Linked DNA regions of Saccharomyces cerevisiae S288C. The protein of the gene in region 3 interacts with the protein of the main gene of each other region in a pairwise test. Each region holds a gene or a part of one and is shown on either strand. Other genes may lie near its edges.

Region 1 (10,880 bases), on a different chromosome or scaffold from region 3:
GACAGAGACTAAATGATATGTTCCAAAATGCAGATGAATTACGTGAATATTATGCATCACCAGTAAAACTTGAAGGGATTATAATACCAGATACTAGTATATCAGGATGGATTAACTCAGGAGAGTGTTTTTTGTTCAATTATTGCACATTATTCAAGGAAGGTGAGTTTGGAAAGTTGATCAAATTTAAAGAAGACGAAAAGCTCCGGCTTTCACAAATAGTCGACATATGGAATAAAGATATTTGACCAAGAGTTGTTCTAGTCTTATAAGCAATAGGTAAACCTACACGCTTTTGTTGTATAATGTAGTATAATTTTTGATATCTGAAAAATTATCGCACTGAAGTATAACGTAATGTTTTGTAACGAAGTTACTCTTTAAGTAAATCACTCTTGGCATGCATTGGATAACATAGCCATGATGCAACGCCAGCAAAAATCCAAATTGATTGCAATAGGGAACTATGAAAAATCTGGTACTCCCGGCCACGCTAAAATGATTTTCCACTAAGGTGTTCCTAAAACCTTTCGGATCCTTTATGTCTCTGGCATCATAAATGTCTGTTTAAATTAAAGTATATTGAATTGGTGTTGAAATTCAGCATAATCGAACCACTCTCATGTGGGATGTAGCATCATTCTTAACGCTTTTACTATGCGATCGCCACTTTTAAATGTTGGAAATTGTGAATAATTTACTTTTATCTTGTAGGCAAACCGATCATATTCTGCAAAATTTTGAAAATCCATATCTAGATGCACTGTATTGCACTTTTATATTATAAAGAATTATATGTAATAAATCGACAATAAATAACGCATCGTAACAAAAAGAACTCGAAAATTTTAAATCAGGGTCAGAAGAAAGTAGAAATGCCTAAAGGAAATCGATTGTACTTTACAGTTAAAAATAACTTCCGCATGGCTTTCTCAAAAGATTTTTGTCTATAACGAAAATAATCAAAACATATCTATAAGTGAGGATGTGAGAAAAGATTAATCAAAACCAGCTTCTGGTGGACAAACGGCCTTTAGCTGAATGGCGGTACAATAATCTGGTAATGTGTCATCCTTACCGAAAATATTCACAGCTGGGGTGCTTAAGATAACAGAAGCAAAATTTGGGTAACAGGAAGCAACTTGAACGCCATAATCGGTAGAGTTGAACAATTGGTTAGCTAAACCGGTTATGAAGGAAGCGTTATCAGCAGTGTCTGCCCAAGAGTTATATTCAATTTCACCAGTAACAGTGTTAGCAAAAGGAACCATAGCGTCACCAATGGATTGAGGGTTACAAGTGTTGATATTGGTGGTGAAGATGAGTGGAGAAAAGTTCTTTGTCTCGTTACTAGCAATAGTAGTCAACTTTGGGAGGAATCTTGTTTCCTGGCCCAAATATCTTGCCCAAGCATCACCAGCGCTTTCAGTCAAGACGTCGGCGCCAACAAACGTAGATTGACCCAAAAATGTACCGTTTTGACCAACGACTTCCATAACGTAGGTACCACAATGAGGTCCATGTAGGCCCTTACAGGTAACGTTAGTCAAATCAAATCTGACGGTTGTTGCAACAGAAATAAGGACGCTGAAAAAAGTAAAAATGCTTAGGAAACTCATGGTATGGTTGTTGTTCTTGATTTCTTGAGATTGTACAATCTATCAGAAGCAGTAGCTCTCCATTTTGAATGAAAATTACGATGCTTATATATCAATTATACCTGTTATATGCTGAAAACCTTAATGATAATATTAACCTTTTTCTAGCAACTGAAAATACAGATCTGGAATATGTTTCTATATTTCCAACCTCAGCGGTTATTCGAAAAAAAAAATAATTGACCCGCAGGGTGTATAGGTAGTTGATGAAAGTATCATTGTTTTTAATTTATTGTTAAAAGTCCGAAAAGCGAGAATGCATGAAATTACTACCTTCCATTCCAGGAATAGAAGCAACACTAATTCAAAAGCCCGTTTAGGAAAGATCCGAATATTTTGACAGTAGTACGTAATGAATAACCACTCAGGTCATACTAAGACAAATTTTATAACATTTTAATGTGTTCCTGATTTGATTATGCAACACTTTTTTTGACCCAGTCCAAAAAACTGCCGTAATGTACTTCATTGGTTGTCGTACAAGTAAGCTTTAACATGGTTCTCGAAGTCAAAGCACAAACATGCGGCCAATAGGTCAAAATAATGGTAAGATACTGCAAAACTCACTTCACTTGATTGAAAAAAAGTTGCTTATTTCATGACGGACAGATTTAATTCTGGACAATTTGGTTCTGTTGAATTCGGAAATGCTCAGGGTTCATCATGCCATAGTGCCACTTCAATAGAAGACAATACCTTTGAGAAAAAAAGGTACCTTGCATGAGGTATGATGCACGGGTGCACTGTTTAAAAAAACTTCAAAGTATACATGTAAAGATCGCTATAGCTGAGCGGCCAATTAGAAAATATATGGTAAAAGAAAGAAGAAGTATTAATATAAGCGAGATATCTCAATTGGAACATTTCATATACGTTTTCACTGTAATAATTTATCAAGGACTCTCCGGAAATTTTGCGATTGCCCTCAAACTCTACGGAAGAATTTTACACTTGTAAAACTCATCACATTATCTATCGTAGCGATAATATTTCCAAAAATGTATAATCCTTCCTTATAAGTTTATTATTTGTATATGAAGCCGCAGAGTACAATGTAATAAATACGAATAGGAGATAGGACCTATGAGTATAACTCGTATTACCACTATAGCTCCTCTTGTTGTCTATCAAAAAACTTGCTGTCTTACACAGTAGTACAATGCGAAACTATATGGCTCTTCTTTAATTATGAAAGAAAATAAGATGTGAAGCACAGCAATGAATAGGAAAAAGAAGAACGATATATGCAACCTTTTTTTTTTTAGGGGCCATTTTGCTAGAACTGCCCCCACTTGGGAAAGAACTAACACCATCGCCTTGCATTCCAGTGACAAGCAATGATGTGTACTGTGAAAATTCTAAATACGAGGTTCAGCTGACATTAATAAAATCTCCTGTCCCGATGGAGCTATCAGACTTATATACCGACATACTGGAGTATCCTGGAGCAAGGGGTGGCGCTGGGACACTATCGGAGATAAACTCAATATATTAAGTCATTCAAAGTCGACACACAGTAAAGTATCCTGACTTTTGAGCAGTCAAAAGTGTAGCCTTGATCATCAGAGTTATATTTCTCATTAAAACTCTTAATAATCCAATTTACAAATTTTGTAGGTAAACAGAATATGTACCGGAATTTAATGGCACTGGAAACTGAATATCTACAACACTTTTACCATACAAGTTTGCCGTCCAAAATTGCAACACTCTGTACTGTGATAATTATTCTTGAGTTTGAATCAAGGGTATTATAAGCTTGACGCATAGGATGTGTGCAGAGCTCTTCTGCGTACTTACTTTTATCGACTGCACCGAATAAGATGCTCCCAAAGTGTACATTAGGTCCATTCAAAAATAAGGAATACGATATCTTCTTTTCGATCTTTCCTTGTCTTTCAAATGCCATTAGAATTCTCATATACGAAGAGTTTTCTGTTCAAAGCAAATGCATTTTCAACATTATCTGTAAATTCTGCAAGGGGAAGGGATATGCCTAAAATGCCACTTGGATTGCCCATTTTATAATTTAATAGGCCAACAATGATATTATTTAAGGTGAAAAATTCTTTAAAGAGACAACGTCCGTACCATAGGTTCCTTCTAATACGTATATGTCATTGAAGAAAGTCGCGTTATTCTTAAAAGTAGATGAGTTTCTTGCATTGAATTTACCCCTATAAGAGCGGACAGTGTTATAAGCTCTGGTGAGGTGGTAGTAGAACGAGGCCCAGTGAATGTTGCCGTGAGTTCGTAATTATCAGTTGAAGCGTAGTCAGATCCGTCAGACATCGATTTGCAATAGGCAATGTCAGCATTATTCACAATCATATCTGAAGAGCCAGTATCTAACTGTAGGTACACCGTTTGTGGAGGCGTTCCGATTTCCATCTTGACAACATACACTCCTATTCCATTTATCACTGTGGTGTTAAGAACCTCATTTCTTTTGAAGACGGTAGAAACATCCTGTGTGCCTATATTTATAATATCAGCAAACTTTTGAACAGGAAACTTAACATAGGAACTTGCGGAAGACCCTAAAACGGTCAATGAACACATCAATGATGACAACAAAGAGAGGATGGAAAACAATTGCATATTGATAGCGTTGCGTTGTCTTCAAATATCCTTATTTTCGAAAGAGACAAAATTTAACAACTGATCAACCAATGAAAATAGAGAACAAGGAAGAACGATGAAAAACCTTATTCCAAGATCATAACACCTTATATACTCTCAACTTTGAAAGCAGTTCCAAAGCTTAAATCCTCGAAGAGTACTGCTTGCATGAGGTTTACGCAACAGGTCTAGTCAGTTTTAACTCCTCGGATATCTCTCGAGATATTTTGCTATAGTGAGCGATAGGGTAGCAAATTTTTGGACCCTTAACCCCTTATACAAATTACCACCATATGTCCTTTTCTGCAGCGAAAACCTCGGTGTTGTCAGAAACAATTTAAGAAAAGCACAGGCGAAATTGGGCTTGCACTGGGTGATCAACAATGCCAGAAATATATGAGAAGCTTTTTACTCTTGCTTTTGCTTCTTCCTCTTTTTGTTCAAGCCAGCCAAGCTATGTTATAGTGTTGAATGTCTTGAACCGTTATAGTTTCTAAATATAACTTTACATTTTGTTATGCAATCTTCATCATCTCGAACTTTTCAACAAACGTTCAACAGTGATGGTCTTCCCCAGTGAACCAAAAGACATATGACGCTCGTATGGTATGTTAAAAACAACATAGAGGATAGTAGGTCGGGGTTTATTGTAGAAAGGACATAAATAGTTGACGTGGTAAATTTTCATCAACTAAAGCCACATCTATTTTGCCAAGTAGGAGATAATATAATATGTAGAGGGATCGAGATTTACTGAAGCCTCACGTGAGGGCAATCTGGAATCAGATTGCACTGGTTTGCACCATACCTCTCAAAGAAGAAAACGTACTACTTTTTTAGTTGAGTATGAATAGGGTAGTGTTTCCTAAAGTTATAAGGTAAAAGGGGCAGAGGAAAAGTCGATAATAATTTGAAAGAAACTTGCTTCCATATTCACAAAAGAGCTGGATACTTCATGTCATCTGCACATATATCTACAAAAATTTCAGCTTTTTGAGGTTGATACTAAGTCTTTCGCTACCAAAATGAAAGAAATCAATTTGGAGAGACTTAGGCTGAATATTTCCGCGTTCTCTCTGGGAATGAAAGATTTCTTACTGCAAAGAGTTTCAGTATTTACGAATTGGTTACAATTTTTTTTTTTTATCATACACGATTCTTTGAACATCAACTTCTCTCAAAACCATCCGCCTTCAGCGGCTACAATTACGTAATTGCACCAAGGCATTCGCGGAGAATTCACAAATTTGCAGACGCCAACAGTATACGACTCCCAACACACGTTTAATGTTGTACGAATTCAAGAGATAGAAATATTTCTTGCATGGAAGCCGTTTAGAACAGACTGAGTATGGGCTTTAACAATAAGCTTCTGTACGAGGGTCCAAATCTAAAATTCGGATATTCTTTTTGACCGAAAAAGGAAATGTCACAGGCACAGAAAAGGGTTTTATAAGGCACCTCGGCACCCTATAATTGGCATTCCCACATTCTGCGCATACGAATACACATGAGTGCCATAATACAATACTCCACATACGAAGTCTATGAAAGATGTATGATTCGTTCAGAAACAAGAGCATCTCCATAGTGATAATGAGATTGTGTGAAAGATGAGATATGGAGGATATGTGAGGTGCTAAATGAGCATCTGTTAACGAATCGTTTAAGTAGTGATGACTGATAGAGGAACGGGTATAAATAGAGCTGCTTCAACTGTATGCTTTTGAGAATATATCTTTATTTCTTTCTTTCCTGTTAAGCTTATACCAGCACTAAAAAACAAAACAAATACAATGGTCAAATTAACTTCAATCGCCGCTGGTGTCGCTGCCATCGCTGCTACTGCTTCCGCAACCACCACTCTAGCTCAGTCTGACGAAAGAGTCAATTTGGTTGAATTAGGTGTCTACGTCTCTGATATCAGAGCTCACTTGGCTCAATACTACATGTTCCAAGCCGCCCACCCAACGGAAACCTACCCAGTTGAAGTTGCTGAAGCCGTTTTCAACTACGGTGACTTCACCACCATGTTGACTGGTATTGCCCCAGACCAAGTGACCAGAATGATCACCGGTGTTCCATGGTACTCCAGCAGATTAAAGCCAGCCATCTCCAGTGCTCTATCCAAGGACGGTATCTACACTATCGCAAACTAGAGACAAACGCCTTTACGAACGAAATTCTATAGACATTGGTAAGTAACGAAAAATAAAATATAGAAATAAAAAGCTCTTTTTGATGATATAAATACAAATTGTAGATAAGTGTAATATAAATAAAAGATCTGACCATATATTTAAGCCGGAAAAAAATCCCAACACCAAAATAAAATGTAGAATAGATGAATAAATAAAATTTTCAATTATAAAAATAGAAAATAAGTTAAATTTGACGGCTCCATTTCTATTAAAATTGAAAGTATATGTGAAAAAAAATCATGCTAGGGATGTCTCTCACAATTCAAAAATCTAGGAAATAAATTTAATTATTTGATATAACATTATAAATCGTCAACAGAAGCTTTTTCCTAAGTCTTAGTAGTCAATGCTTTCAATATTTGCGCATCTTCTTTCATTGATTTAAAGAAAGATTGAAAATGTCTGGCTTTATAACTTTAACATCAAATATAATGATATCGTAGTAAGGTTAACCTTTTTTTTCCAATATTTCATAACATAATCGCAGATGGCCTTTACCACAATTGTATCAATAACCACAAGCTGTCTCTTCGCATTGAGCACCATCTTTGTTGTCATTACAGAAGCCATCAACCCCCCATATGTGTTAAAATATAATTCACCGTGGACAGCATTTTCATCTCCAATGTCAGAGTAATTCTCTTTATATCCTGGATCAGGATTATCAGTTACCGACCAGTAATATTTCCACCCTGGATTATTTGCGAACCAACCGAACATGCATTGATCGTCCTCCTCCCCAAGGAGGGGCCTACTTTTTTTTACCTCTTTATTAAGATCAACATTTACATTGTCCCAATTCCATGATATCCAATTGACGTCAAAATAGCTTATGCGTCTCTGCAATGAATGTGCCCCAGAAAGAGTATCTGGTAGCGATCCAGGTGTTTGAACACCTATTATACTGTTGACCAATTCAGTCACATTATTACGCATGTGAGTGGCACATGAAGACCCAACTGACTACTAAAATATCAAACATGCTGCATTTCTGTAACTGTGTTATTTTGTTCTCTCTTTTCTAAGCCATTAGCCTTCTATGTGTTCATATAGTCAAATGCTCCTGATAATACAAGACCAACTGTTTGCATGGTGGTGTTGATTGCAGTGAAATTACGAGGACTTGAAGAATGGAAGTCTAATCCAGCAATAGTAGCAATATATCCAGTAGATCTTTTTTGCCGCTGCTGCCGTCAAAGCCGCTGCCCCAGCAATCGTATCAGCAGTGGTAGCAACTCCATCTAAAGCATCTGCTACCAATGTAACTACAGCTCCAGTCCAGCATGAGTACTACCTGAATCTGCTGTACATTTGTTAGCGGCGTATGCACCGGAGAGTCCTGCTAGCGTAATTGAAAATCCACTGGCACCACCTGCTAACGCCCAATAGTAGTTTTGCCTTTCATTAGATAACTAGTCACCACAGGTGAGGCAATTACCGTAGTATTAACTATAGCTTCTGCATCTCTTGAACGAAAATAATAAAAGGAAACAGCAAATACAAAGATGAATAGCAGTATATTGCGTCTCCAAACTCTCCAGCAGATCTGAAAACGCTTAGCGCCTATTTTCTCTTGACCAGTCATGAACGTTAATTTCTGAAAAGGATCTATCTCCCGCTGGGATACTGCTACGATATTTCTGTATAATAAAAACTCTTGGAGAAAAGCAGTCCTTTAAATAGTGAAAGTTCACCGTAAGATTTCAACAGGTGTTTCGCCCCTACTCAAGCGATAAGCAACGCACAGGTTGAACGCGAGATATGTTAATAAAAGGCAGACAGATGTCGGTAATAATTATTACGGACATTATTTTGAAATATTAACTCAACCGTATGAACCAAACACGACGATAGCTGCAATTTCTTTAATGCGTACTGTATAGCAACGTACATCAAGTAAGAAAACGAAGTACTCCAAGAAAATGTTAATAGTAATAAAATTTATTATGGGTAACTCATACCTTAACGCAGTACTAGAATATACATTCGTTACGCGTTTGGTCTTGAAATAGTAATAATATCTTTCACGTAAGGTGTTTTACAAAAACTACCGCATTTTCTCTCAACAAACGTTAAAGGATGTTGGTATGAGGAAAGAAAAACGTATAAAACTGGTTACGGTATGAGCTTCAAGGAAGCTTCAAGTAATCTCATGATATGGCGACCGTACAAGCACGTACTGTGTAATTTTATTACGATGTATAGTGGCACTCTACAGACTTCATCAAATATTGCATTATCTACTAATGTTTAAACTTGGGTTATTAACAGCTTTTTTTTGGTCTTTAAGAATAGTATATCAATATCTTTACCAATTACACATCATTGCAAGCTGATTGTGCTTCTTTTATATATGGCCAGAGTTCAAAATCAGTGGAACCAACTGACAAAGACGCTTGCGAAGATACAGGGGTACTGAAATACCATTTAAAAAACTTTTCACAATCAATACCATCTGAGAACAGTATTGGCGAATTCCAAATTTTCTGCTCAAACATGTAAGTATTCGTCCTCTTCGCAATTTGAGACCAATTAGTTGCATCAGACTTCTCGTGTCCACATGTAATATATGACAAGAACTGTAGTTTATGTATCAGATTCATTGATTTGAACCTGAATTTGTCGATCCCTATTAAATATTCAATTATCATAGATGAAAGAACTGCACATACATAGAGGATATGCAGTGAATTTCTTAGTCTTGGTATAGTAAGGAGACCGTTTAAGTAAGCAATACTGAAGAACGCAAAGCGTGAATTCATTATTGTCACTTCCTTGAAAGCCCAGAGAAGTTTGGAACCGTAACCATGTTTCGAAAATTGAACACTCTGTGTGGTTTTATTGTGTAAAAATCCTTCAGAATTAATCCAGTGCCATTTTCTCTCTATCTGTGTAAAATAAACCTGCAAAGCTTTTTCAGTGTAACAAACAGATCCGTCAGGTACCTTGGCATTAGCAAAGTCATTTTTTTTCAAGGAAAATGGCTCAAGAAGCATCTTTCTGAACGCTTCTTGGCAGCTGGAACCATCAAAAAAAAAGTACTCAGTATTCCAAAGTTTATTTTCATATAAATAAGAATTGAAATTTACTGCAACACGTTCCCAGTCTTCAGTGTCTATACCCGGAGTATTTGTAATGATCTCTTTAGCAAATTGAGAAACTTGCTTTCCTAAGGTGCGTTCTCGGAATATGTACGAATATGTCCATAAGAAATACAGCACTTCAAACATAAGAGCAGTAACGATAACGAGATAGTGTCTTTTACCACGTATTTTCCACGCAATAATGAGTGGTAACCACATTAATAGCCAAGTGCGGAATTCTAAGGAATTGAATTTCTCATAGCAGGACCAGGTAACAAAACTTCGGAATACATTCTTGGGTAGCGTGGAATTGTAGCAATCAAATATTTCAGATGGTAAAAAAGCTACAGTATTTTCAAATTTGGCTCCATCCATGCCTATGGCGATGTAGTTCAGGAGACATTATTTTGCAGTTATTACGTCCTGGTAGTTCGTTCATATGTTTCCTAAAACCATCATCTATCCATATTCGCAGGCTAAAAAAATGCCGTTCAAAACACGCGCGCATTATATCACAGTCGCTATATGATAGAAATAGACAAAGCGTGTCTGATATTTGGTGTAAAAAATTGGTTTTCAATAGAAAATAAAATTTTTTATTAATATAGTTATAATAATAGAATACTACTTCTTATCACAATAATATAAATAATTCCTATTACTTCAAATAAAATAAATAAAGATTGCAGGTACCCCAAATTTATATATACTTTCTAGTGGATGTATAGATTTTTTTATTTAAAGAATTTTTCATTAGTAAAAAGGATAGATTAATTAAATATAAAAATTCTAATGAATAATTACAATAAGTTTTAAAAGGAGATGTGTTTTAAGGTGAAACTATTAGATTTCAAATCTACTCTTTAGGTTTTCGATTCTCTGCACTCTCTTTAATAAAAACATATTGTATTAATAATTATATTACAAAAGTGGGTATAATTAAATAGTAGAATATACGCTTGCGGTGCGTTAAATCCGAGGCAGTCCTCAATATTCACTCTATAATAAATATAATAATGCATCTCACTCCTCATAACTATTTAAAAATATAAAGATACAATTAGGTTCATTTCCCAGGCACATGCCTGAAGCAACCACCTTTGTAACGCTCAAACTCAGATTCTTGCCTAAAGCTCTGTAAAAAACGACTATCTTAAAGCCATCACTTAATATTGAACAAGGAAATATTATAGCAGTATCAGTATGATGATTTATATAAATTTGCAGCGATAAACATCAACTGTGAAACTCTAAAGACCTACATACGCAAGATTTAAATTCTTTTGTTCAGTCTAACTGTCTTCATATATGCCCCT
Region 2 (9,224 bases), on a different chromosome or scaffold from region 3:
AAGGACCAAGAAAAGGAAGAGCGTTTAAAAAGTAACGGTAAAAATATGGAGTGGTTCTATGAAAAATTTTTGGGTAATATCTTCTAGATGCCTTTTTAATCAAAGCCTTAGGGCAACATGAAACTATATTCATCCAATCAAAAAAATGAGCACAAGAATTTCTCTTTGATCATTTTTCTTTTACCTTTAATAACAATCGTTATCAACATTTTTTATTTCCAGTCCTACCACAGCATTATTGCATAATTAATTTACAGGAAGATTTTCTTGAAAAAATAGAAAGAAAAATACCCATTTTTTCAAGGAAAATAAAATTTATATATTACATACATTTCTATAAAACAGTTTAAATTCAAAAATATAAACAAAAACATAAAAATAAGAAAAGTTCAAGTCTTCGTTATTTTCTGTTTGTGGAGTAATCGATCTTATTAACATATATGTGGAGACTTTTCAAATATAGCCACCTGCAACATGGAACCATAGTGTACAGGTATCACTTAATCCTCCAAATCATCTAATTCAAAGTCCGATGTGGAGAGTAGCTCGGCAGTAGCCACAACGTTTTGTTTGGAGGCTCTCATATTAATGACCCATATAGTAGAACTAACGATAACTGCCATACCGCACCACGTCCATATGTTTGGCCAGTGGTGAAAGAGCACGACATCCCAGAAAACAGCATATATAACTTGAGTATAAGTCATTAACGAACCCCTTCCTGCACGCTCCCTCTGGATTCCCATTGTTAACAGAATTTGGTGAATGAATCCAGAAATACCCAAGTTCAGAAATAGCCCCCACTGCTTCCACGAATGAGGCAGTTGTAAAGACATCGAGGGAATTAGAAGCACACCGAGGGCTGCCACAACAGTAGTAACCAACGAGAAATAACTGACACTCATGATGGCATGTGCCTTGTTACCGATATATCTTATGATAATGTAAACACTACTCAATCCGCAAACCCCCAATAAACTCACCCCGATAGCAATGAGTCTTAATTTGGGATTTTGAGTCTCAACAATATCGTCTTGTGGAGATTGCTGGCCTTGGGTCTGCTCACCAAACAAAAATGTAGGTCTAATAATTAACACCACTCCAGAAAATGAAATTAGGGACCCCAAGGCTTCAAGTTTACTAAATGGCTCACCCAGCAGTAAAAATGAAAGGAAAATGGTTAGGGTTGGCGACATGAAGGTGATTAAGACAGCGTCACTTATACTTAGATACATTAAAGAAAAGTACATTCCAAAAACACCAAAAAAACCCATTATACCTCGGAGTATCAACCATTTCCTGCATGGTGCTGGGCCCCATGGAATATCTGGAACACTTTGTTTATTCCAATGCATGTATACTAGCGTACAACAGTACGTGATAGACATCCTTACTAGCAGGATTTGCAGAGGATTAATTCTTGATTGCGAAGTTTCCAGTGGGTCATTTTCTAGGACTTTGGTAGAAACTACCATAGAAGAATTGAAAAAATAAGACACTATAAGTAAGATAAGTCCATAATTAGGCTTTAGATAATCTTTACTAATTCTTTGCAGCGTCATTGAGAGAGGAGGTGTTTATTCTACTTTTCTGTTGGGGCAGCTTTCGTGAATGTAATAATGAGATAATTTTCCCTGTCTCCTTTGTTTTTTTTTCCAGATGACTCAATTAGTGACTAAAGAAAAGGATGCCATATGGAAGACAGATATCTATAAAAAAAAAAAATGCTATAAATACTTTTTAAACTCAACTACAAAAGCGAAAATGTTTACCTTCTTTTGGAAGGTTTAGTAGTCGTATCTCTTTCAATGATTCCGCCTGTATCCTCCAGACGCTCTTCCTCAAGGGTCACCTGATCTCTTCTTTCCCACCAACGGTCTTCACATAACTCAAATGACTTCGTCTTTAACTGTTTACCCTTAAGGTTTCTGTTGTTAGAAATAGACCAGGTTAAGAAATTTGCACCTTCCCTTAAGTAGAATGCTCTTAAAGTTTCGAACGGTTTTGGGTGTGGTAGCCAAGACCTTTCGTCTGGAATCTCCATCTGCGCTTGTTTGTCATCGTCGCTCTCGCTTTCCTCATCTTCATCACCTTCAAGGGGTCCTGCATCTTGTTCCTCTTCGCCGTCGTCCTCATCCTCCTCATCGTCCTCGTATTCAAACTCATCTTCGTCCGAATCTCTATCACCTAGTCTCTTTGCTTCTTCGATGGCAGATAGGTCTTCCCAGTAAACCTTGACACCATCCAACTTGTTCAAATCTATACTATAAAATGAGTTTATAGGATAATCTTTTTCGCCCAGTTCCCAGACACCACTGTAAATGAACAACGAGTCGCCCACTACACAAGTTGCTGCGTTAAATCTTGGGTGAGGTAATTGATTTGAGATGGTAATATCTTCTTGGTTGTCCAAATCACTGTCATCTTCGTTATCTTCGTCGTCATCGATAGAGTTAGGACCCGTTGTGCTGTTGTCATCATTGTCATCGTCGTCGTCATTTAGATTAGACTTGGCCAGAATGGAATTTAGTAAATCCTGCAGTTCCTTTTCTTGATCTTTATTAGATTTTCTTTTACTTGTGGCGGGTGAATTTTTACTATTCGTTTGACGCTGAGGTTTAATTCTAAGTTTAGACCATTTGTTCAACTCTAGGTGGAACATATATAGGTCGTTATAGAAAACGGACTCTAAGGATTCCTCTGTCTCTTGTAAATCGTAGACACCACCAAAAGCAACGGACTTGTTTTGCTTCCATAGATTGAACGAATACCCGACTCTTGGTGAGGGCTGGTTCTTGAAATTCTTTAATTTTTCCCACTGCCACTTCTTTGGATCAGGCGTTAAGTTCAGTTTCCATGCATCATTCAAGATTTTTCCCTTCATTAAATTTTTATTATTTTTGGCAATGATTTTACAGTAACCACCCATTAATATGGCAGAATTATCTGTAGGAATGAAACAATGACCCGATCTAGCGTCAGGTTTGCTGTTTGTCTCCAATTTGGTCCATTTGTAGGTTGAGATATCAAAACACCACAAATCATTTAGGTAAGAAGTTTGACCATTCCCCAAATCTCTAAATCCACCAAATAATATGAAATAGTTTTTCCAAGCAATAATTCTATGACCTGATCTGGCGCTGGGTGAAGAGTCTCTACCGCCAAACTCCAACTTAGTGAATTTCCTTTCAACGCAGTCAAACAGCCATGTATCAGAATAGTGGTAGAATTTAGATTGTTTTGGGGACGAAAATTCACCACCGTGTAACAGTGCTATTCCGGAAGGATGCACAGCGACAGCGGCACTGGATCTGGGCAAAGGTGCATTTTGCGAAACGTATTTTTTCCAAGAGTTGTTCTTTATGGAGTATGAATACAAATCATTATAGAAATGTGTTAGTTTGGTTTCTGGATCTGTAAATTCACCACCGAAAATGAACAATTCATGTTTATTGTGTTGCGGATTTGCAAACATCAACGGATGAGTACGACAAGAGGGTTTTTCCACAGAAGTGATGTCTACATGCTCTAATTCAATTTGCTTTTTGCTAAAGCTAGAGAGAATTTCATCGAGATCTTGATCACTTTCATCATCTTCTTCGCCGTTTAAAGACTTATTCTTGTTCTTCTGAAACTTTTTCTCCTGCTTTTTTTGGTTTTTCTGATTCTTCAGTTCAGCACGTGCCTTTTTGGCCTCTTTATCCTTCTTATTCTTCTTTGCCATTAATCACTTCTACGAGTCTAGTAGATCTCTTCTCCTTCCTATAAGTGGTTAATGTATTCTTCGAGAAGCTCATCATTTTTTTTTTTCATTTTTTTTTTTTTTTTCAGTTTTCTACAATTTCATCAAATCAATGGTTAAACCGGGCAGAAAAACTACCAAGCGTTACTTTTACTGATGTTAGTACTACTACCGCAGTTATTGCGACTACTACATTAACTATAACTATACAAGAAAAAAAGTAAAGAGGGCTCGTAAAGCAAAGCTTGGTATCTCCTACATAGTCAATACATAGTAGTGAGTCGCCTATAGCCATTCTGTAATGCCATTTGTTAAGACGTGTCCTTAAACCCTTCCGAATCGCCGCGGGCGACATCATAATGTCAGTACCTAATAATGGTTATTATTCGTACCCTGTGGTTAGAGAGCTATGGAAGCTAGCAGTAAATGTCTCTAGTTCTTGCTATCACTACCATATTGGAGAGGCTTCAGGCCCCTCCCCTGAGCCGATCCTCGGAATGACTACCCCGATTCCCGGAATGGGCGTTCGATGATTGGCTCTTTCCTGTAAAGCCTTTTTGCGTTTCTTATAGGCTATATATAATCTTCATCACTGTTGTAGACGTTAAACAAGCATCCAACAGGAGGCCGGACCGAACACACGGGGGAGTGACTCTAGCTCTTTCTTCTGGGATATTCATATCGTTTCTCCATTACATACAGTCATTTTTTTGCATTTTTAAATTCGTGACTTTTAGTACTGCAGCTGTTTTTTTTCTCACGTCAAGAAATTCCATAAAGTCTAACTATTAAACGGATAAGAGATACAATCATGTTGAGATTTACCAATTGTAGTTGCAAGACTTTCGTAAAATCGTCATATAAGCTTAATATAAGAAGAATGAACTCCTCGTTCAGAACTGAAACCGATGCATTTGGTGAGATACACGTGCCTGCTGATAAGTACTGGGGTGCCCAAACTCAAAGATCCTTTCAAAACTTCAAGATTGGTGGCGCTCGTGAAAGAATGCCATTGCCTTTGGTGCATGCATTTGGTGTTTTGAAGAAATCTGCCGCGATTGTGAATGAGTCTCTGGGGGGATTGGATCCCAAGATCTCCAAGGCTATTCAACAGGCCGCTGACGAAGTGGCTTCTGGTAAGCTAGACGACCACTTTCCATTGGTTGTTTTCCAAACGGGTTCCGGTACCCAGTCTAACATGAATGCTAATGAAGTTATTTCCAATCGTGCCATTGAGATCCTAGGAGGCAAGATTGGATCTAAACAAGTCCATCCAAACAATCATTGCAACCAATCTCAATCATCCAATGATACTTTCCCCACTGTCATGCATATCGCTGCCAGTTTGCAAATTCAAAACGAGTTGATACCTGAGTTGACCAATTTAAAGAACGCCCTTGAAGCCAAATCCAAGGAATTTGACCATATTGTGAAGATCGGTAGAACACACTTGCAAGATGCCACGCCTTTGACACTAGGTCAAGAGTTTTCCGGTTACGTGCAACAAGTTGAGAACGGTATCCAAAGAGTGGCACATTCTTTGAAAACATTGAGTTTCCTGGCACAAGGTGGTACTGCCGTTGGTACAGGGTTGAACACCAAGCCCGGATTCGATGTCAAGATAGCCGAGCAAATTTCCAAAGAAACTGGACTAAAGTTTCAAACCGCCCCTAATAAGTTCGAGGCTTTGGCTGCTCACGACGCCATTGTCGAATGTAGCGGTGCTCTAAACACCCTTGCTTGTTCTCTTTTCAAAATAGCGCAAGATATAAGATACTTAGGGTCCGGGCCACGTTGCGGCTACCATGAACTAATGCTGCCAGAGAATGAACCAGGTTCCTCAATCATGCCTGGTAAAGTTAACCCAACCCAAAACGAGGCATTGACTCAAGTGTGTGTGCAAGTCATGGGTAACAATGCAGCTATCACGTTTGCCGGCTCTCAAGGTCAATTCGAGTTAAATGTCTTCAAGCCAGTCATGATCGCCAATCTATTGAATTCGATCAGGTTAATTACTGATGCCGCATATTCATTTAGAGTGCACTGTGTTGAAGGTATCAAAGCCAATGAGCCTCGTATTCATGAGTTGTTGACTAAATCTTTAATGTTAGTCACCGCTTTGAACCCTAAGATCGGTTATGATGCCGCTTCCAAGGTCGCCAAGAATGCTCATAAGAAGGGCATTACCTTGAAGGAAAGTGCATTGGAATTGGGTGTATTGACTGAAAAGGAATTTGATGAATGGGTTGTTCCTGAACACATGCTAGGTCCTAAATAAACGAGCTAAATACCTAATAATATACAAGTTTTTTATGTCTTATTATATGAAGGAAAATAAGGAAGTGGAGAGAATTTGTGATTCAGCAATGGTCCCTCCGCTAAGGTCCCGCCTCTGGCCAGTTATGTCAGAAGAGGAGCATAGGCATACATTCCATTTTTGATGGCTTAATGGGGCCCATAAATTTACATCACTACATTATTATTCCTATACAAGTTATAATAAAATAGTTCATAAATGAATATTTTGCGTCATTTTTTAATTTCTTGTCGTCGGGTAAGGGACCTAGTATTACCCGCATCACGGAAAGGGGAATTTTCAGAAATGATAACGAATAAGAGAGTACACCAGAAGAGCAAATCTCTTTAAGAAGTTTAGCAGCAAATATCGGTTTAAAAACAAACAAAAGCAAAGGAAAAGAACTACTAAATCTTCGAGGACTTTCCCAATTTTTAAAACGCTGAAATTGTATTAGAAGAGAATAACTGTCTAAAAAGAGCATGTTTGCATCCGCTGGACAACAACACCCTCAAATTGTTCCTAAGGAAGAGGAATCCATATTAAACTACCTCCTTGAAGTGAGATCCTCCTTGGCTAAACTCAAGCAAAATAGGACCCAGTATTTGAACTCTAAGGATGTCCAAACTACTTACCAACACGTCTTGACCAAAGTCAGAGAGTTGGACGATATTAGGAAGAATAGTCATGAGACGCCCGCTAAGAGCGCCGCCACCCTGATTCATAGTACTGAATTGCATAATAGAGTTGACTCCGTACTGGATGATGTCTTTCAATTGCTCTCGTTGTGTTTTTTAACTGTTGGGCTAAAAAATTCTGCACCTGCGACTTATGCATCGTTATCTACTGTGGAGAGTCTTTTGGAACATTTAAATGAATCAAACGTCTTCACCCATCACGATTTGAGTCCTATTAAGGAAAGGCTGGAAGAAATCAGCAAGATTGTCGAACAAAAAAACTCTAGTCCTGCGTACGATGAGGATGGAAATGATGACCGATTAAGGGAAATCGACAACGAAAGGAAAAAGAATAAAATTGAGGAAGACCTATTACTACGTGCTAAATTAAAGCATTGCAAGGACGAATATGATATATTGGAAGGCAAATTGGAGGAAATTGATCCGTCTTTGTCTACTGTAATGGAAAAGTTATTCCGAATTAGAAGAGGTTTATTGTCATTAGTTGCATCTGCTAAAAAAACAATGTCTAAATCTGATATTAATACCAACTCTTTATTGCAGGAACAAAATGATTTGCAAACGAACAATGAAAGCTTAACGGATGACAAACATTTAGTATCTCAAGAGTATGTCCATGAGAAATTATCAGTTTTGAAGAACGAATTAAGTGAATTAGAATCTAATCGTGACGATTCTGGTAAATTCAAGTCCTTGGAGTCTCATCAGGTGGCAGAAAAAGGCCAAAGTGTCCTTAATGGTTTATTGGATGATTGCCATGATTTAGTTAACGATTTATCACACCAAAAAAATGGCGGGTTGACTTTAGATCCATATTTACAGCCAATATATGAACAGCTGATTGATATAAAGACTACCTTAGAAAATTTAATGATCACAAGAAGATGGACTTTGAGAGAAACCGATTTATTTTCTTACCAAAAAAAATTGAACGAAATTGATAACAAAAGAATCAATGGTAAGTTTCCAACAAAATCTCAGGACTCAAAGGGGCAATCAATACTTTTATACCTGTTGCGTAGATGTTATGCCATAATTTATAAACTGTTGGAAAGTTCAGAGCCCGTATCTGAAGCGTTGCAGCCAATTCACAATCAACTATCTACAGTTCGTCGTTGCCTATTAGAATTGAAAAGAATGGGAGGTGTGAATAATGAAAGAGAGTTATACCCTTATCAAATGAAATTGGCTTCATTGGACAACCTGAGAACTGAAGGTATATTCTATGACTCTGATGGCAATATACCTGAAGGCCAAGGTATATTGAATGCTTTATTAGCAGAATGTTTTGATATCTTGCATGAATTAAAAGTGGAAGCCGAGGAAAAAGCACAGAACTCTACTTCAAGTGATGGTTCTGACGACGATGACAACGGAGAATCAGGCATAGACTCGAACTCAAACGACAGCGAGCCTGAATCTGAATATCAACAGGAATAGAGGAGAGTGTTTCTTTATCTTCCATTTCTCCCTATTTTCTTGGTAGAGGAAAACATTATAAACAATAAAATGAAATACAGAAAGAAAAAAAGTTATTCTCTTATGTCTATGTATATAACAAACCCTGAATGAGCATCTATATAAAAACAAAAATATATAAACAACTTTATGTCATTATCATAATTGTCAATGGGAGGGGGGAGAAAAAGAGGAATAAGGACATACGTACCCTGTGTCTTTGTCCATGCACCGTAGAAATTGCTTTTTTTATATATTTTTCAGACATTACGTCAGCCTTATTGTATAATCATCACCACTTTGCGTGATATATCTTACCCATGGGTAACTCTTATACTGCAATTTGGGTTCGTTAATTTTAAGATAACGTACTTGAATACCTGAAGTAGTAAAGTAGGGTATTTGAAATTTGATTTGGACAGGTCCCTTCAAGATTTCCGCGTTACTTTTTGGCATTGTTCTATTGCCATCCTCGTTATTTGATATTGAAGGCAGTCCCAATTCGGCAGACATTGAGTACTCTTTACCACCGGGAAAACTTCTTATTTTCCATAAGATTGCACTTTTTTCAGGGACATACTTTAGAGACCCGTGTGAATATTTAAAAGTCGGTGTATCCGCGTCGTCCGGGACCGGTATCAATATCTCTACATTAGTTGCAGTAGATTTTCTTTTAATTTGGGCCTTGGCCTTACAGTGAATTTCAATTCTAGAATTCGAATGAACTTGAACGTTTACATCACACCAAATTAACGGTTTTATCGTAGTAGATAGTCTGTAGTTCATTAAATCGAACTTTCCATCAGGAGGTATAAACGTTATAATTTTTTCATTCTCGAATTTGCTTAATCGGACACATTGATGAAATTTCAAATCTTCCAATTCAATATTAACTTTCTTCTTGTTTGTGGCCGATGATGATGTTATTGATGGTTTTTTATCAGTTTCTGTGTTATTATCGGATGTTGTCGCGCTCGCTGATGGGATATTTGTATCATCATCCAAATATTTGGAGAAAATGCCTTTATCA
Region 3 (11,034 bases):
CGAAAGTGCAAATGAATGCAGAAAACAGGAATATAGCTTTTAATTGCCAAGTATCATACTTTTTAGCCATTAGCTCAGACTTACGAATAATCAATGATTTTGTTCCCTTTAATTTATCTTTCATTTCATCTCTGGGCGACGAATCGTCATCCATCTTTTCATCAACCATCAGTTCATTACAATTTTTTTCAGTATTCTTACGCTTTGTTTGGCTAGAACGATTGTCTTCTGGGACTTCGATCATATTTCCTTTGGCCCAAAGAGTTACAACTGTTTTTGGAGCTCAAGTGGAAAGGACACAAGCAAAGTTCTTCTACCAGGATCTCATGTCTTTATAGAAAAAAGTAAGGTGTAAAAAGGCTACTGGGTAAAATTCACCACGTTATCTTCTTAACTTGCCCTTAGTGAAAAGCTGTATCATTTCAGCTTCTGTGCAGATTAGTGAGTAACTGTCTTAGATTTGTGGAATCGGAGCACAGAAACTCCAGTAGGGTTGTTACGGACTACGTTCTGAAAGTATATTCCGTTTTCTTAAAGCAGGTGCAAGTTACTGGCATAACAGGACCCATCACTTCAGCCACAGCTTTGCTTCTAAAGATATATACGACATACTGGTAAAGCACGGAGCCCTACGGACGCTCAAAGTTATTCTTTTTTTTTTGTTCCTTACTGTGAACTAAGAACTGCACCCATTTTCTGATTGCTTGCTTGAGATAGGTGCTTATATACCGGGTGTTTGTATATAGCAAAGGTAGAGGGAGAACGGATTGCACACAACCCGGCCTGACAGGGAAATTTAATATCTGCAGGAAAGTTTCGTATGATCCCGGACGGGAGGGAAACCTTTAGAATTTAATAAAAGACGATCATTGGACTCACATAATTTAAATTAACAAGGAAAAATATTGCTAGGTAGGTTGTCGACAACTCAATATATATGAAAAAAAAAGAAAGATGCTAAAACGAGGCTTTTTTCTTTTGGACAAGGGGAGTCCAACCGCCCTGCATAAGTTTATTCAGCCTGTGAATGACTATAAACCATATATCATACTTCTTGCTTCTTTATACATTTTTTTCAATGGAAATATTTATATAGAAAGGGCGCTGCGCTTTTTGAGGTGAATGTTTTCATTTTTCAAGTTATTCAGTAGCGTTACCCAGTTGAGTGGATAGAGAATTCAAGTTTAAAGCTCATCTCAAACAAACAGTAAAGGATTCTACGCGGTACAGACTTATTTCCTAGTCGAGCATGATTCGATCATTGACATATATCCCATCTCTTGATCTAAGACTTGATCATTTTCTTTAAATTAAGAGTTTTGGGCAAGTGTAAAGCAAGGGTTAAATGATTATGTAGTTATGGAAGTACCAAATTCAAGTTCGTAAGAGGCTTGCTTTCTACTGATATATAAAACGCTCGACCGATTGGTTCTTCAATTGGTATAGCTAATAACTATAGCTGGACTAATTAAGACTTCAAGGACGTCTTACGCAAGCGTGGGTGATTTTATTATTAAACAATTTTTCTGTCTCTATACGCATATATGTTCTATAACATAAATATGTAATGGATACTAACCTTTTTCTGTGATTAACTTACTCTTTGCGTTACACCTCCATCTGACTCATAAAACAGGAAGACTCAGATTTATTAACTTTAGCATTTACGCCGCAAATGGTAAATGCTCCGGCCCGATACCCTGAAATAGCAACATGTACGAAAGAAGGTATTCAACTGAAGCCTTTTAGACAGACAAGACTATTGGATTATCAAGGCACTATATTTTACCACTACAGTAAATACTTCTGATAAGAACGGCATGAATAATCAAGTAGGTTTTATAATACTGGTATACATTAATATAATCAACTATTTATACTATCAAAAAAAAAAGCTTTTTTTTTTTTGTTTTTTTAAGTTTTATGGAATTTCATTCGTAAAGGCGTTTGTCTCTAGTTTGTGATAGTGTAGATACCGTCCTTGGATAGAGCACTGGAGATGGCTGGCTTTAATCTGCTGGAGTACCATGGAACACCGGTGATCATTCTGGTCACTTGGTCTGGGGCAATACCAGTCAACATGGTGGTGAAGTCACCGTAGTTGAAAACGGCTTCAGCAACTTCAACCGGGTAGGTTTCAGTTGGGTGGGCGGCTTGGAACATGTAGTATTGGGCCAAGTGAGCTCTGATATCAGAGACGTAGACACCCAATTCAACCAAGTTGACTCTTTCGTCAGATTGAGCTAGAGTGGTGGTTGCGGAAGCAGTAGCAGCGATGGCAGCGACACCAGCGGCGATTGAAGTTAGTTTGACCATTGTATTTGTTATGTTTGTTATGTTTGTTAGTGCTGATATAAGCTTAACAGGAAGGGAAGGAATAAAGACATATTCTCAAAGGCATATAGTTGAAGCAGCTCTATTTATACCCATGCCTTCATCAGTCATCACTACTTAAACGATTCGTTAACAGACGCTCATTTAGTACCTCGCATATTCTCCATATCTCATCTTTCACAGAATTTGATTATCACTATGAAGATGTTATTGTTTTTAAACGAGGCATGCATCTTTATAGATTCCGTATGCGAAGGTATTGTTTTCTGGGGCCTTTGTCTATTCGTATGCGCAGAATGTGGGAATGCCTATTATAGGGGTGCCAGAGTGCCTTATAAAACCCTTTTCCGTGCCTTTGAAGTTTCCGTTTTCGGTCAAAAAGAATATCCGAATTTTAGATTTGGACCCTCGTACAGATTCTTATGTTTAAGCCCATATTCAATTTGCTGTAAACAGCCTCCAATGGAAGAGGTAATACTATATTATCCCTCTCCTGATAGTTTAATTAAAAATAGAAAACGTGTATTGGGAGTCGCTTATTTGTAGAGTTTGTAGTTTTTAAGCGTTCTCAGGAAATTCATTGACGCAATTACGTAATTGTAGGCCGCTGAGAAGCAGCTAGTATTGGAAGAGCCGCGTATGGTAAAAAAAAAATGTTGAGTTCAGTTTGTAGCAGTACTACAACTCTGTGCGGTGGGAAAAATTTATTCTTCGAGGCACAGTATTTTTCTTCTAGCTAGATATAAAGAAAAGTGAAAAAGGCAATATATGGCGCTAATGTATTTTATTCAATTAAAAACTTTCTGTAGGAAATGGTATTAATAGTTGGTATTCCTTGTAGACAAAACCATCGCTATATTCATGGTGACGGCTCATCTCTAAAGCTTCTTAAATGTACAGTCAGCTAAGTGTTCTCATAAGAAAGGGTTTGAAGAAGTCTCCGATAGCGTGCTTTAGTATGTTGACGAAAGAAATCAAGATCTAGCTTATATGTCATAATGAAGTAAGTTATATTGGAGTTTTTCTGGTAAATTCTACAAAAGTTATGCAACATACTTATTTCTGTCCTCTTCTTACTCGTCTTGCGGCCAAAACTCGAAGAAAAACATACGGGCCAAGAAAAATGATGCAATCCTCCCAGTTCTAGATATTCCCGCTTTTAAGTCCCGAATTATAACAATATAAAAAGGATATAGAAAATGTAATTGTTAACTTGTGGTATAAAGACAAATTCAAAAGCAAGTGAGGGCCCGCTAAGGCTATGAGTTCAGAATTATTAATATCTAATTCTAAACCAAGACCAGAAGGATTAAGAAAATTATGCGAAGGTGAGACAGTGATCCTTCCAAGGGACATAACCCCCAGCAAATGCGCTTATTTCTTAAAACAGAATATCGTATTCATTTCATATATTTTCATCCATATTATTATTACCATAATCTTAAACCGCCTGGCATTATCTGCACACGGTAATACTTTGATTATTATCTTAGCGGCTTTACTAATTACAATTTCACTATTCCTTTTACTCCTCTTACCTTACTTAAGCTGCTCAAGATATAAGTTAAGATGTTTAGATGATGATTGTAAGTTCAAACTATTAGCGGAAGTCATTACACATAAACCTAACATGGACTTGAGCACATGGGACCGGATTGCATATGACATGAACCAATTTGTATATGACCGTCGTATATGTGCAGATAGATCTTTTTTCTACGATGGCAGTTATTGCTATCAGGTTTTTAAAAAGTTGGTGGCTACCCCGTACCTTGTGAATTCCAATATGAATAGTATATATGCTGATCTGGAGATGAGAAGTAATGGAGCAACCAACATTAACGATTCTGGTAATAGTTCATTACACATCGAATTGGGCACTTATATTTTTAAAGCATTGGCCGTTTTCAGGAACTCTGTTGACAAGTACTGGGAGGATAAGTATCCAGAGATGGGGGTCACAGTTTGATTGGAAGGTATTTCTAGGTTCTACTTTAGTTTTTTATAACGCATCCAGTACAAAGAAATGATATTGGTATTTGGAAAAGTCATTGAATATTCTTGAATAGATTATAAGTGAGCTTCCTTTCTGTATCAGGATATGTGGCTTAACTTTAAACTCGTATAATAAAAGTACTCGTATTTTTGTGGGATGTTTGCCTCCGTAAATTTATAAATGGCAACAGGAACACTATTATAATGTAATGTTACAATATTACTTTTACTGTATAAGTTTAATGCTTTATAAAACTAGATGGCAGCTTCTAAGTTGTGGCTTGTGTCGGAGGTTCAAGCTGTCCTCCAAGTTCAGCGCAGCGATTATTTGCAAATTATCTACGTAAGGACTATATAAACGTTTCGATGCCCTCTCTTCACATCTTTTGTGTCGAACCTCGAACATCGAGCATGCATTGTCCATTTTTGAGCCAGTTTCTGCTTATTCTCGTATTTCAACAATAATGTTGTTGCATAATGTACGCACACTTTGTGCGGCATTTTATAGCTTACAGATACAGATGAATTTACGAGCTGTATAAAAGAACTACAAGGAAGTTGTAACTGCAAAAAAATGTCACCGGGACGATATCATCACAAATATGGAGGGCCGCAAAAGTGAAGATGAAAAGAACGAAGCCGCTTTAGCCTGTGATGTCTTTGAATCCTCCAATGCCAAACTACCAAAGAATGTATTCAGAAGTTCCTTTACTTGGTATTGCTATGAAGTTATCAATAGGTCAGCATTCCATATTTGGTTATTGTTATGTTTAACGCTCATTGTTGGTTGGAAGGTTTTTTCAGGCATCGGTGGTAGAAGACCATCTGACTCAAACATGGACGGCCCCCAAACCAAACATAAACGGAATCCAGGTTTTTTGAGGCGTCATTCGACCATCGTTATCTTAGTTATATCTTTAGCAGTGTCTTTCTCATGGGAAGCTTTCAAAATGTATCGTGAACGCACCTTCGGGAAACAAATCACTCAGTTTGCCAAAGAAATTATTAAAAGTGCGCCAAGCACAGATATGGAAAGCTGGGACCGTGTTGCAGCGGATTTTAACTCTTATATGTACGAAAATAAACTTTGGAACACAGAATACTTTTTTTGTTGATGGTTCTAGCTGCCATGTAGCATTTAGGAGAACCCTTCTATGGATTTCCTCAAGAATTGACGGCGACTATAAAATAGAATATTTTAGGAAACACCCTTATATTGAAGAAGCCCTTAAAGTATATTTTGCAGAAGTGGATAGAAAGTGGAATTTAAATACTTCTCAGCAATTGTTAAGCAATATTTCGGTTGGAAATATCAAACTTCCTGGTCAATCATGTCGTTTCAAATTATTTCATATTTTCAAGAAAGTCATGAAACAGCGTTTTTCTCAAGTAGCAACTGTTATATTCTTCGTCATGAGTATCCGTTCTCCAAGAAATCTCGGCTTTTTTTTTACTCTTGCCCTTTTTGTCGTACTTGTTTGCTCCCAGGAATGGTTCTCCTTTGAAATGAATAGATCTTGTTCAATGAAAGTGGAACATAGAATGCAATTTTTGTCAACTATAATCAGTGAACATCAGAAATCGGATGTGAATTGTTGGGACCAAATCGCAAAGAAGATGAATGTATACTTATTTGAGCAGAAAGTTTCCGGCTCAGACGTGTTTTTCTTAGATGGAGCAGATTGTGAGCGCTTTTTCGAACGTAATTTCCTCCGTTATCTACCCTCAAGAAAGTCTTCCCATCCTGACCTACCAATTGCTGAATTGTTGCCGTATATCAGAAAAGCCGACATTGCCTGTGCTGGTAAGCAATTGATTTAACTACTGAAGTTTGCCTTTGGTTTGAAAAATAATTCTGCCAGCCAGACATGTTTTTAATAGCGCTAACCTAAATAATAATAAACAGCAGTGCGTAATAGACTTATGATACTACCTGATAATTAGTTTGACGTTTCACTTCGCAGCCTTTTCTGGTCTGGCCACAAGACTATATGGCATCAAGAAAGGTGTTTACGTTTATAACACACGTATTGTACAAGCTTTCTGCGTTGGCTTTAGTGTCTGTAGAAAATTATAGAAAATTCTAATTATGTTTTAAGGTTAAGTGCTAGTGGTGCTCAAAATAAAAAACTGTTTAGTAACTGCTCGTGTAAAATGGAAGTACTCCAAAAGTCCCTTTTCTTACTGAATTGCGCCGATTTTAACCTTTTAATTCGGATGTTTTATGTTTTTTTTTCTACAATTGCACCCGTTTAGTCCAAGGCATATTACATTTCGATCTGAGTTTAATGAATAGGAAGAATTTATTACATAGCATACCAGTCCCTTTTAATGGCACCATATTTTGTGCATATGTGATACATTGGTAGGCCACAGTGCAGATCACACACATCAGTAGCGCATAATTATTTTTTTGCCTGTTCAATTTAACTCTGCGCAAATAGCGCATCTCTATACGCACATATCCGATTTCAGCACGAACTATACTGCGGGAACTGTAAAACTAAAAGACATGGTAATAATTTTCATGTTTTTCAATCCCTTACAATGGACAATCTAGCCAATGTCCGAATCTGTAAAAGCGGTAGATGAAGAGATTACGAAGACAGGCAAGTGAAAGATTAAGATAACTTGCTACAACATATGAAAAGGCTTACTTTAGGCTTCAGGCACCCTATAGAGGCCAACCACTTAATAAATTCTTGGCGTAGTGCAATCAAGCAGTGAACAGAAACAAATCACATGTTTCCTTGGCAGAATGCTCATATAAATGATGACGTAATTTTTACAAGAATGCCATATATTAACTTTTTAGGGCCAAATTAAGATTGAGTTGAAATATTCATTTTTACACTACTAATCTTTTTGAATGCGCGCAGTTTTCTAAGTATCAAGCTCTCTGCAATCTTGTATGAAAGATGCAGCTAGGCACATAGGAAATGAGAAATCATAGTTATTTTTATTTTTATTTCTCTCCGTAAATATGCACTTCATACAAACAAGGAAAAAATATGATCAAAGAAAGGCAAAAATAGTAAGTTCAGGCAATATAGAGAAAATAATTTATTTCTACAAGTAGAGGGGCGCAGTAGAATGCATTTGTATAGCATAGCCAAGTCAACAACAATACTGCGTTTTCTAAGGCATATTTTATTGCCATTTTTGCATCTCTCTATTCATTTTACTAGTTGCTTGTGCAGAATAATCTATGTTGGCTGGAAAAGTTTTTGGAAACATTTTTTTTTTTGCGGGCATAAAATAAAAACTCCGCTGTTCATCGCTTCCTACGCAATGTTCTTAGCCAAGCAAAAAATTATAGTTACAATGTTTGAGGTTTCTTCCGTTCTAGAGAAACTGCCGCAGAATATTTTACTGTTTCACTACCCTCTTCCTTCCAAAATGGGAAATAATTTATTAATGTCGTTCTTAACACAAAGATCGATCGATGAAAAGGAAATTGATGCATTATTACATCCTAATGCGGTCTATCGTTTCTGCAATATGAGAACCACATTCAGAACATTATCCTCATATGGCAAATAAACGAGATATCAAGATACCGGACCCCCTTTTTTACAGTAGATAAACCGGAGAATACCAGAGTATTTTCCAAATATAGAAAGAAAAGGGTTATTTCTAATTCTCGCTCTCTGTTTTTGGAAGACGAAGTTATTAAGTTTTTGCCTGCATTTGGAAACCTGCTGCGATTTCCTCGATATTGAAAAAAAGTAAAGGCCACAAGAAAAAAATTTTATAGTTGCCTTGGGATGACAAACAGCTGGATATTATTATTATTGGCAGTAGCCCTAGTATGTTGTAAAAGAGTTATTTACAAGATTTTCTTTTTACGAGGGCACGTTATAACGTTGGACTCAAGGGGAAAGTTTCTAAAGGCACAAATAAACATTATGGGCTTATGGAAAAGGTGCCAGTGACGTGATGGTTACGCCTCGCCATTCATGTTAAACGATGTAAATTACTTCTATTACAGGATATTTTCTTGCCTTCGTTTAGCGTATTATCAGCCCTTTTCTCTGTTTTACAAATAAGGAAAGCGCGACGTCAGCCAATGTGAATACCGTTTATGGTTCAACCTTGTCTACATTTAGCTACTTTTTTTTCTTTTTCGAAAGCATTGATGCGTTTGCTCGGTGATTACATCATAATTAGTGAACACACGCAGCAAACCGTGATCACTGCGAGTATTCTACTCTTGTCATCCCAGACTACAAGTAAATCATACTATCTCTTTACAAGCTGAATGGAATGGGGCTTAGCCGACTGGAAGGATAGGCTTGCCAAGGAAAAACAAAGAAAAAAAGGCGAGTGGATTTAAGATTCAGCGACCGCCTGTCTTCCCTTCCTTTTTCACCATAGTTGACATAACACTTTATCTTGTCTTTATATCTCTTCTCGAAGCACTTATGATAACCGACTTCAAAGTCAAGGTACATAATTATTCAACGCCTCTAATTTTTCACTTGTTATGAAGCAAGTGCTGAGACAACTGGCCAATCGATGTTATAAACAGGCAGAACAAAAGAAGTAAAGATATTACTCTGTTACGTAATATTAAGTAGTGCCGCACTATACATGTAGATATGCATATACTGTTATGGTAAAAGGAATATGCAAAGAACTAGACATTTCTGATCTTTTCTTTTCTTGGTTATGATCATTAGAATGGTAGAGTCTTGTAGAGAGGAAAAAGTAGGAGGTGACACCGTATATTTTGGGCAATATAGTCATGGAAAGTGATATCAAGCAATCATGCAACGTAAACATCAACTTATTCCCGTTTAAAAGTGAATTTTGATGGAAGTTTTTCAAACCAATCCAAAATTGGATCATTGTCTTTCGTGTCGACATATTCGCCATCCTCGATGTATTCCACAGCAACAGTATCAGTCAATTTAGGATCCCTTAGACATAAGGAGAATGCAATTAATGGAACACAAAATACTAAAGCCACGATAGTTTCCAATCTTTGAACGTATTTGTAAGCGTTCATTAAGGCATTCCTTTGTGGGGTACCCCAAGTATAGGTTTCAATGAAAGTATATGGAGATTCGTAGGCAGTTGTGGCTAGAGCAACATCACCCATTCTCTTCAAAATTTGTTTGTACAAAGTCTGAGTCCAAATGGCACCGGAAACTGCGGAACCGACAGCAGAACCAATTCTATAGAGGGTATAGTTTAAAGCTGTAACTGTCGCCATGTTTTCATGAGAGACGGCAGATTGTACAGAGACGGTAACTGGGTAAGTGAACAAAGTAGTGCCCACACCCCAGACACATAATGCACCAATAATACCTGAATGGGACTGACTTCCACCTCTAAAGTGGTACAATAAACCCATAGCCACCATCCATAGCGCGCATCCAAACATTATGAATGGTTTCAATCTCGTACATCTTGTTACAAGTAAAGCGAAAAATGGAGAGGCCACAGTAGAGACAAATGAAGATAATGTGGCAATTCTGGTTGCAGATTTAACGGATTCATTGACGGCAACAATCATAACCGTGTACAAATAATCAGCGGCCATATAGTAAATAAAATCAATCAGGAAAGAAATACCCATAGAAGACCATACAGCCCTATCTTTGACCAGCCTATATGGAAGAATTGGATCTCTAGCGAATCGATATTCCCAAATCCATAAGATAGGGATCAAAACAAAGCCAAGAACAAAGGGGCCGATCAATCTTGAATCATTCCAGGTAGTTTTGACCCCACCAGCCAAGGTCAGTGGGACCAAGATACAACCTAGGGAACAACCCATCAAAAGGACACCAACGACATCTAACATCCAAAATAATTGCTTTAAGATCTTAATAAAACCATGTTCTTGATAATAGGACTTCTGGCCCTTCAAAGCGTGCCATTCAGGAGTCTTTCTGGCCCTCCATTGCATGTGCAACATACACAAAACGATTGGAACACATGATAGGGGAAAGATGAAAGCCCACATACCTACATCCCAAGACCAGTTGACAACAGGATTGGCTCTGGAAGTGATATTACCAGCAATCCATGTGTTGATGATAAAAGGCCAAGTCGGGACAAATTGATACAGCAGTCTCCACTTTAAAGATGAAAAATCGGATAGGATAATCAAAAGAATAAGGATTACACCCACATAGCCAGCATTGTAGAAAATGGCACCTGCAGCGTATCTTTGAACATCATAAGCTTGTGATTGAATAATTGTACCCACAACATATAGGATGACAGCACTAATGAAAAGGTATAGTCTACCAAACACATCAGACAACCTAGCGTATATGATTTGCGAAGCGGCACTGACCACAGCATTAATGACGTTGATTGTAGACAGCAGAGAATGCTCACTATAGGATGATGTGGCGTAACCAGTGTAAATATAACGGATGTTACCGTCCAGTCCATAACCGTAGCCACATATGAAAGCACTCAAAAGTAAAATCGCTTGTAAGTACCATTTATTGTAAGCAGAGCCAATGATTTCAGTCTGCTGGATAATTAGGCTCCTGTTCTGTCTCAAGGCATTGTATTTTTCAGATAACTGAGGGAGACCATATGAGTCGGAGTTGGAATCGTTATGAGTCTCAGGATTCAACTCGTGTTCCATTCCCATGAAGACATGTTTCTTTTCCTCCTTAACAGGATCGCGAGAGTGAACAGACTCCATTAGTACGTTGCTATGCAGTGGCTTGAACTACT

The links.
Region 1: the proteins of YHL042W (region 3) and YPS5 interact in a protein complementation assay, tested with the Saccharomyces cerevisiae proteins (one large-scale study listed by BioGRID).
Region 2: the proteins of YHL042W (region 3) and YPL264C interact in a protein complementation assay, tested with the Saccharomyces cerevisiae proteins (one large-scale study listed by BioGRID).

The regions. Positions count from the first base shown.
Region 1 is NC_001139.9:1,849-12,728, reverse strand, and holds YPS5 (Yps5p), read right to left. Parts: upstream 4,260-10,880; coding exon 3,762-4,259; downstream 1-3,761. Other genes in the region: alpha-1,3-mannosyltransferase MNT2, read left to right, coding at 1-248; VEL1 (Vel1p), read right to left, coding at 999-1,619; YGL258W-A (uncharacterized protein), read right to left, coding at 3,334-3,567; YGL260W (uncharacterized protein), read right to left, coding at 5,639-5,869; seripauperin PAU11, read left to right, coding at 6,077-6,439; YGL262W (uncharacterized protein), read right to left, coding at 6,890-7,417; COS12 (Cos12p), read right to left, coding at 8,797-9,939.
Region 2 is NC_001148.4:42,783-52,006, forward strand, and holds YPL264C (uncharacterized protein), read right to left. Parts: upstream 1,563-9,224; coding exon 501-1,562; downstream 1-500. Other genes in the region: DIP5 (dicarboxylic amino acid permease), read left to right, coding at 1-87; KEL3 (Kel3p), read right to left, coding at 1,769-3,724; fumarase FUM1, read left to right, coding at 4,554-6,020; YPL261C (uncharacterized protein), read right to left, coding at 6,214-6,522; CUB1 (Cub1p), read left to right, coding at 6,521-8,176; APM1 (Apm1p), read right to left, coding at 8,462-9,224.
Region 3 is NC_001140.6:9,970-21,003, forward strand, and holds YHL042W (uncharacterized protein), read left to right. Parts: upstream 1-5,697; coding exon 5,698-6,150; downstream 6,151-11,034. Other genes in the region: ARN2 (siderophore transporter), read right to left, coding at 1-244; seripauperin PAU13, read right to left, coding at 1,954-2,316; PXP3 (Pxp3p), read left to right, coding at 2,533-2,880; DFP4 (DUP240 family protein), read left to right, coding at 3,596-4,303; ECM34 (Ecm34p), read left to right, coding at 4,932-5,444; YHL041W (uncharacterized protein), read left to right, coding at 7,423-7,872; ARN1 (siderophore transporter), read right to left, coding at 9,119-11,002.